Canis lupus familiaris: one gene and its partner. The protein of the gene in region 1 binds, or shares a complex with, the protein of each later gene. Links are inferred from orthologs where the notes say so. Each region holds a gene or a part of one and is shown on either strand. Other genes may lie near its edges.

The links. The genes of interacting proteins can lie anywhere in the genome.
Region 2: the proteins of PTH1R (region 1) and PTH are in contact, whole or in part, in a cryo-EM structure (PDB 9JR3), measured with the Homo sapiens proteins. The link is inferred for Canis lupus familiaris from reciprocal best matches to the Homo sapiens genes PTH1R and PTH. Residues at the interface, in NP_000307.1 of Homo sapiens: Val31, Met32, Thr33, Lys34, Glu35, Gln37, Ile38, Leu41, Glu111, Trp112, Asp113, His114, Ile115, Ile135, Tyr136, Asp137, Phe138, Arg146, Arg162, Thr163, Ala165, Tyr167, Val171, Leu174, Thr175, Glu177, Glu180, Arg181, Phe184, Leu187; in NP_000306.1 of Homo sapiens: Ser32, Val33, Ser34, Glu35, Ile36, Gln37, Leu38, Met39, His40, Asn41, Leu42, Gly43, Lys44, His45, Leu46, Asn47, Glu50, Arg51, Val52, Glu53, Trp54, Leu55, Arg56, Lys58, Leu59, Asp61, Val62, His63, Asn64, Phe65.

The regions. Positions count from the first base shown.
Region 1 is NC_049241.1:42,328,091-42,332,222, reverse strand, and holds the start of PTH1R (parathyroid hormone/parathyroid hormone-related peptide receptor precursor), read left to right. Parts: upstream 1-1,330; 5' UTR 1,331-1,594; coding exon 1,595-1,669; intron 1,670-4,132.
Region 2 is NC_049242.1:37,024,113-37,028,120, forward strand, and holds the start of PTH (parathyroid hormone precursor), read right to left. Parts: upstream 2,808-4,008; 5' UTR 2,734-2,807; intron 628-2,733; 5' UTR 623-627; coding exon 537-622; intron 419-536; coding exon 157-418; 3' UTR 1-156. UniProt on the Homo sapiens protein: Parathyroid hormone elevates calcium level by dissolving the salts in bone and preventing their renal excretion. Acts by binding to its receptor, PTH1R, activating G protein-coupled receptor signaling.

The DNA of each region.
Region 1 (4,132 bases):
ACGTGCCCGGGCCCCGACGTCCGAGTCCCCCGGCCCCGTCCCCTGCACACGCCCCCCCGCCGCCGGCGACCCGGGCGCGGCCCCTAGCGGAGCGTCCCGGGGCAGGGGCAGCGGGCTGGGCTCGGCGGCGCGGCGGCGCGGCGGCTCGGCCCGGGCGGGGGCGGCGCGGGGGGCGGGGGCGAGGCCCGGGAGCGCGCGGGGGAGGGAAGCGGCGCCCGGCCGCGGGGGCAGGGGGAGCGGCAGACGCCGAGGCGAGGGACGCGCGCGGCGGGCGGCGGCTCCGAGCGGCGGCCGGGCGGGGGGCGCTGGAGGCCGGGCCGGCCGGAGGGCATCCCGAGAGCCCCATGAGGTGCCCCCGGGGCCGCGGACGGGGCGCTGTCCTGGGGAGGCTGTCGGGGGGTCCCCGACACCCATGGCTGGGCGGGGGCCGCGGCGGCGCGCTCGGAGTAAGTCGGGGTCGGGGCGGGCGCGGGCGCGGGCGCGGGCGCGGGGGCGGGGGCGGGCGCGGGGGCGGCGTTGGGTTCGGGGCGGCTCCGGGCCTGGCCGGGCCCCGGGCGCGCTGCTCCGTCTCGGTGTCGGTCGGCGGCGCCTCCTCGGAGCCCGGTGGAGCCGCCAGCCCCGTGCCGCTCGGCTCCGTGGCTTTTTTGGAAACTTGCAAATGTTTTCGTAGAGAGAGAGAGAGAGAAGGGGGAGGGGAGGGAGGGAGGGAGCGAGGGAGTGACCGACACGGAGCTCGGGGCTGCTGCAAGAACGGAGGCCAAGGCTGGGGGAGCTGGAGACGGACGGACAGGCCGACAGGCAGAGCGTCCCGGCCGCGGGCGTGCTCCGGCGGCGCGGGCGGGGGCGGGGGCGCGGGCGGGGGCGCGGGCGCGGGCGGGGCCCCGGCCCGGGATGCGGAGAGGGCTCGGGAGGCAGCCGCAGGCACGATGGGGATCCGAGGGGGGCTAAGGGGCACGCGGCTGGCGGCCGGAGCACCGAACGGCTCAGCGTCGTTGCAAAGTTAGGATCGCGTCCCTAAACTGCACGCCCCGAGCGACTCGAAACGCGCCCCCCGCCCCGCCCCGCCCCCTCCCCTCCCCGCCCGGGGCTCGCCGCCGAGCTAAAAATAACAGCCCGGTTCGCCCCCCGCAGACCGCGACCCCAACCCCTCCCCCGACCCCTCCCCCACTGGGCGTGGGGCGAAGCCACAGCTCCCAGTTCCCCAAAAGAAAAAAAAAGAAAGAAAAGGCGGCGCGGGGGGGGGGGGCGGGGGGCGGGCCGGGGGCGGGGGGCCCGGCCATATGGATGTGATTTCTCCGCTCCGAGGCAGACGGGCAGCTCCGCAGCGCTCGGCGCCCGCCCGCCGCCCGCCCGGCCCCCGGCTGCCTCCCTTCCTCCCTCCCTCTCTTTCTCCCTTGCGCTCGCTCGCTCGCTCGCCCTCGGCGCATGGGCCCCGCGCCGGGCCCCGGGGCCTCGGGCCGCCTGGCCTCCGGGGTCCCCTAGGCCCGGGCGTGGGCGGGGCAGCCCGGCCTGACGCAGCTCTGTACCCCACCACCACCACCACCAGGGCCGGCGGCGGCGGCTGCCCCGAGGGACGGGGCCCTAGGCGGTGGCGATGGGGGCCGTCCGGATCGCGCCCGGCCTGGCGCTGCTGCTCTGCTGCCCGGTGCTCAGCTCCGCGTACGCGCTGGTAAGTCCCTCGCCGGCACTCGGGACAGGCTGCGGGCTTGCTCTGCGGTGCCTGGGTGGGTCCAGGGCGCACAGTCTTGGGTTCCCTGGGCAATCTGAACTTTGGAGGAACGGCCCCTCTGACCCCAGATCCCCGGTGCCTGCTGTCTCTGGGGTGTCTGGACTCGGCTCCAGATGGCTCCCATCTCCTTATGGCTGAAGCTTGGGTTTGGGGTCCCAGGTCTGGAACTCTGTGGTTGGGGTTCTTCTATCTTCTGCTTCTGTGAGCTCCACTGCTCTGGTTGTGTCGCCTTCGGGGATGACAGTGTGATCTAGCAGTAGACCTGGCTTTGGCCCTGATCGAGGGTCCCACAGATTTGTTCCAGGGCCTCTGTTTTCTGCAAGTTTTGTTTGCGATCCAGGACACAGGGCTGTGGATCTGAGGTCAGAATCCCCTAGGTTAGGGGTAGGATTTAGGGGTCCCCTCCAGCTCTCGCGATCGCATGCACACACGCAGACGCTCTTGCCCAGGGAGGCGAGTGTGATGTGGCCCAGAGGAAGGATGGAGGTCCTCTGAAGGAGACCACCCTCACAGGACACTCCTCCAGAAGAAACATGCTGGAGGGGGACTCTGGTGAGTGAGGGACCCCCATCCTGAGAGCAGAGACCAAGAGGAGACCAGAGAGAGAGAGAAGAGGCAGGTTGGGAAATAAGCAAGAGAGAGAGAAGAGAGACAAAGGGGGTGGAGATGAGAGCTCCCCAGAGCAGAAGGAGTAGATAGACCAAGAATAGCAGAGAAAAGGAGAGACTGGCAGAGGCTGGGGGTGGGGGGGAGCATCCTCCCCCTTCTGGGCCAGAGATGGGGGGCCGGGACCCGGGGAGTAGTCGGATCCCACAGCAGCCCTGTCTCACAGGACTAGCCCGTTGCTGAGGAGGCTGTCTGCCTGTGTGTCCGGCTCCAAGGCCCCTGCTGCCTCCCCAGTACCTCCCAGGTGGGCATGTGCCTTCTAGAGAAGCAGGCAGGCAGGCAGGCAGGCAGCCACCTTCTCCTGACCAGCTCCCTACCCGGGAAGAACCTTAGGCGGGAAGGCAGGAGCTCTGGGAGTCCTCCAGCCCTGCCTAAGGCCCGCGGGACCTGGGGCTATTCTCCACACCTTCTGCAAAAAACTAGCGAGAAACATTTGCCTGAGAGTCCCCTGATTTAAGTGAGGCTCTCTTCTCCTGGGGTGGGGGGCGGAGGGGGGCCCTCAGCGTGGCAAGACCCATTCTCCGGTGCCCATGCCCTCACGACTCTGGCTCCCCAAAGCCAGAAACCTCACCCCATACGAGAACTTATAGATGGGGAAGTCAAGGCCATTTACAAGAAATAAATGCCAGGACCCGGACCCAATTCCCCACCCTCCCCCTTGGGCCAGGCGTGCCTTCCCCACCACCGTCCCTTCCAGAGTGTGTGCCGAGCCAGCCGCAATCTGCGTGCACATCCCTGGGGTAGACAGGATGATGGACGTGAGGGTGCTGAGAGTCGTTTGTTTGTCAGAGCGGGACCGCTGGGACTCTGGGCAGGCTGTTCTCTAGATCCGGGTGAGCGTGTGGCTGAGTCGTGTGTGAACACATGTGTCCAAAGCTGTGGGTCTGCACATGACTTGCAGGGGCATAGTTGTGCACACGCGTGTGTGTGTGTGTGCATTTGTGAGCACATGTGCACCCAGGTCTAGTTCTTATTTTTCATTTAATCAATGCTTTTTTAGTGCTTTCTACTCGTCAGACACTGTCCTAAGCACTTTACGGTATTAATTAGTTTTAATCTTTCCAACAACCCTAGAAAAAAGGGTTTTGTTACTGTTCCCATTTTTAAAATAATCTGAATCACGAAATCAGTAGGACCATCTTTTTTCACGTGCCAATCTATTGCCAAGCCCCGTGTCTCTATGGGAAGGGGGTAATGGGTGCCCAGAGCCCCACACTGATTTCTGGGGAAGCTGAGGCACATGCAGAGAATTTGCCTGGCTTAGCCCTGGGGCAGGTCTGAGGGCAGGGCAGGAGGGGTGCCATGGCTGGATCTGCTCTGAGACCTTTTGGGGACATCCGTGGCTGGACACTGAGGCCATGGGCCTTCCCTGGTTTTAGGGCTGGAGGATGTGGCTCAATGATCACCCAATCCCCTGTAGGCCCCCTGGGCTCAGCTGGAGCCAGCGAGACACTGCCAGCCTGCCAGCTTCTTCTTTTGAACCCGGAGACTGCCGTTCCCATCCACATCTATGCTGATGCCCACCAAGTCCACTGAACTCAGCTGGTGGCCTCTGTTGCCAGACCTGTGTACTGCCTGCCCAGCCAGCCCCGGGAGCAGGCTCCCGTCTCCAGGGACCTCGGGGCTGGGGGATCAAAAAGCATCCCACCGGGAGGAAAGGGCTGTGGCCAGACTCAGCTGGTCCATTTTGTCCTTACAGAGAATAGTAACTGTGTGCTGGGGGCCAAATGGAGTGAA
Region 2 (4,008 bases), on another chromosome or scaffold:
AACTAGAATCAAAACAATCAATTAAAATTTCAGCTATCATGGCTAACAATGGATTACATGTAAATTTTGGCATTTATTAATCTTAAGAGCTTGAAAATGTTAGCAGCTTGTAATGTTGTTGCCCTATGCTGTCTACAGCAGTGCCCTGATGTATCGTCACTGGGATTTAGCTTTAGTTAATACATCCACATCAGCTTTGTCGGCTTCTCCAAGACTTTTTTGATAGCTCTCAACTAGGACATTGTCTTCCTTTTTTAGGGGCCTCTGGGAACTACCATCTCTGTGAGCTATTGGAGCTCCAAGGGCAACAAAGTTGTGTACATCCTGGAGCTTCTTCCGTAGCCATTCCACCCTCTCCATGGAGCTCAGATGTTTGCCCAGGTTATGCATAAACTGTATTTCACTCACAGATCTCTTCCTGGAGGGAATAGAAACAGGGAGGACCACTCCATTAACTCTCTTCTTCCCAATCATAAAGCCAACCTTAAAATCCAATTCCCATGCCCTCACCATGCAGAACAGGGTACCATACTTACTTAACAGGTTTCCCATCTGACTTTGCAAGAAAACAAATTGCAAACATGACAATCATTACTTTAACCATGTCTTTTGCAGACATCATCTTCACTGAAAGGAAAAACAAAATGAAAATATTTAAAGATATTTTTAATACGCTAAACTGTACAGTTAAATTTATAGTAGTTACCATTACAACCACACAACTACACAGAGTGTTACAACAACTAATTGAATTGGTTTTCACAAAAGACTTGTAAAATCAGCCTTTTGGGACACCTGGGTGGCTCAGCAGTTGAGTGTCTGCCTTTGGCTCAGGGTGTGATCCTGGAGTCCCAGGATCGAGTCCCACATTGGGCCCTCTCCCTCTGCCTGTGTCTCTGCCTTTCTTTGTGTCTCTCATGAAGGAATAAATAAGAGCTTTTAAAAAAAATCAACCTCTTTTATTTAGTATATTATATATCTGTAATATATTATATATTAATAATATACACTAGTGTATATATTACTGTGTATATATATTAACATATGCACATAATTTGCCTTAGAAATTAGTTTTACTTTCTTAAGCAACATTTTGAGTTTTTTTTTTTTTTAAAGATTTTGTTTATATATATCAGAGAGAGAAAGAGAGGCAGAGACACAGGCAGAGGGAGAAGCAAGCTCCATGCTGGGAGCCTGATGTGGGACTCGATCCCGGGACTCCAGGATCACGCCCTGGGCCAAAGGCAGGTGCCAAACCGCTGAGCCACCCAAGGATCCCCAACTTTTTGAATTTTGTACAAATTTTAATATATGAATTTTAAGCCACATGAGTAATGAAGAGGCTTACTTTTTAGAATTTCCTTCCACATTTTATGTTGGTTCTGATTAAGTGCTTATAATTTGCTTGAAAATGGTTAATTCTCTTAACCAGGTAAATTACTAATGCTGTTTATTTACTTAGCAAATTTCTTTTTTCACAAGTCAACTTCATTTCAGGCCCTGCAATAATATCCATAAATACCAACTTAATAGGCTCTAATATACAGATTTTTAATGAATTAATGCACATTTCTCCTATCATTAAAAAGAATGTGTCGAAGTATTTTAAAATCACCTAATTAATTGCTTGTTTACAGATTTAGAGCCTTGGCTCCATATGGAATGCTTGTTTATCTTATTGGCTTATTTTATTAACAGTCTTGTTTGAGTATAATTGTTAGCACTTTTCTCTTTTGCTCATAATGCTTTCATCTCAGAATAGAATAGTCTTACCTTAATCTGCATTTCAGTAATTGCAAAGCCTATTATTACAGTAGTGCTTTTTCTTAATGCTTCACGTTCTCCATTTTAACACACAGAATGGCTGTGTACTCATATTTTAAAGGGAAGCAGCACCACTTAGAAGTCACATAAGAAACATTATAATCTACTACATTTTTTTCCCACTCTGCAATATAAAGCTACTGATGAAGAAACAGATGAAGATGCTTCGATGTTGGTTTATGTCAGGAAGAGGCACTGTAGCTGGAGAAGAGAAGCATTGGTATTTAGTCCTAGCTTTGTCAGAGTCACCCAGTGACTTAAGACATCTCTCCTTGGCTTCCTTGTTCTTAGTAGAGAGAAGAGCTTCTTATAAGAATGCCATGAAAAAGCAAAAAAAGCAGTTGTAAAACACCCTTAAAATCTATGTAGTTTTCAGAATAGCAAATTTGGAAAGGCTTTATGTAAAGGGAATAAACATTCAGCAGTAAAACTGAATTTCACCAACTATAATATATAGATTTGAGTTTTATATGAGTCATAAAACAGTCTGGATAAGGATATTCTGCAGGAAAAATGAATTTTAACACAACTTAATAAATTTGTACTGGTTATTTAAATTAGAATTACTCATTCATCACTAAGCTGTTTTTTTTTAAATTTCAGTAAGAGACCATTAGAGCTTATCATGCACAATTTTAATTATTTTTTTGTGTAATTTCAGATGAATCTAGAAAAAGCAAGGCATTTCGAAAGACTTGAATCACCAAAACTAATGATTTAAGGGCAGTGGAGCAGCATAAATTCCTTTTGTATTGTGGCATTTTATATTAAACAGCATTCAAACTCTCCCTTAATAATTTACCTTGAACAAACAGCATGATACTTGTAGAAAATAGTACACATTATATAATTATTCAATTATGAAAAAATCTCAGATGCAATTTAAAAGAGAAACTAAAGATTACTCACCACACAATGTCTTGTGACAAGATCTTTCAGGTGTATCGGCAGCTGATGCTTTTTCGAAGTTGAGTAAACTTGTGAAAGCTGATGAATTTGACTGTAGACTCTCAAGTGTGACTTTTATATATAGGTCTTCCACTTACCAAGAGAAGCTTTTCTATTGTCATAGATGATGTCACTCCCAATTCTCTGGTTTGTAACTATAGGCTCAAAGTCACACACACACACCCTCACTGGGCGGTGCCCATTCCTCTTAAATTTTAAATAATTGGATATTAGAAGGAAAACAGTGTGGACCTCGGAAAAGAGTTTATGCAAAGATGTCTAACAAATACTGAATTGTAATTCTGAGTGGATTAATGAATTTATATTATAAGAAAGACTGATTTCAAAGATATATGGCAAAGTTATTTGAAAGTAAAATCTGAAAATAAGTGCATTGGTCATAACTACACTATTGGTATAATTACTGTGGGGATTATAAATAATCACATTATGTTATTCCTACTTTGTAAGCCATTTTCAGTCAAACCATATTACTCCTGGTCATCTTTCCAAAAAAGTAGACACAGTGCTTTTCTTAAAGGAAGTGTTAAAAGTATTTTGAGAAAATGTTTTTTGTATGTAATTAATTCTAAGGGTTTAGATGTGAAATTACTTTAAAATTCATTTAACTTAAATTTCATGTATGCATTTTAATTTGCAGGAAAACACTTGCTAAGCACTATCTGCCAGATTTTATGTGTATTATCCCATGACATCTTCACAGTCATCCTTTAAATAGTTATTAGCCCAAATTTCACATGAGGAAACTAAGGATTGGAAAGTGGAGAAGATGGAATTCAATCAAAGTCTTTATAACTCTGGAGCCATTCTGATTCTTACCATCTTAGTTTCTCCCTAGAAAAGTAGCTCTTCTTTGCATTCCAGTCTTTACAAGCCTTTACCAGCCTCTTTGCCCAGGGGTTGGGTCTTGACTTTCAGGTTCCCCTGATGATAATTAAGAACCTGCTCTAAAATTTAGCAAAGGCATAGTACTGCCACCTGTTTGACTTCAAATATTGCTATAGCCTGCTCCAGTTCAAAACCCTTTGAATGCCCTGGATGCATTCAGGATTCATTTAGGCAGCTTGCCTCCAATTAAATTCCAGCATTGGATTAGTTTTCTTAGCTCTGGTCCTATCCAGGCTTCATGTAATTCCTTTTTATTTTTTTTAAAGATTTATTTCTTTTTATTTGAGAGTACACAAGTGATGGGGAGGAGCAGAGGGAGAAGCAGAC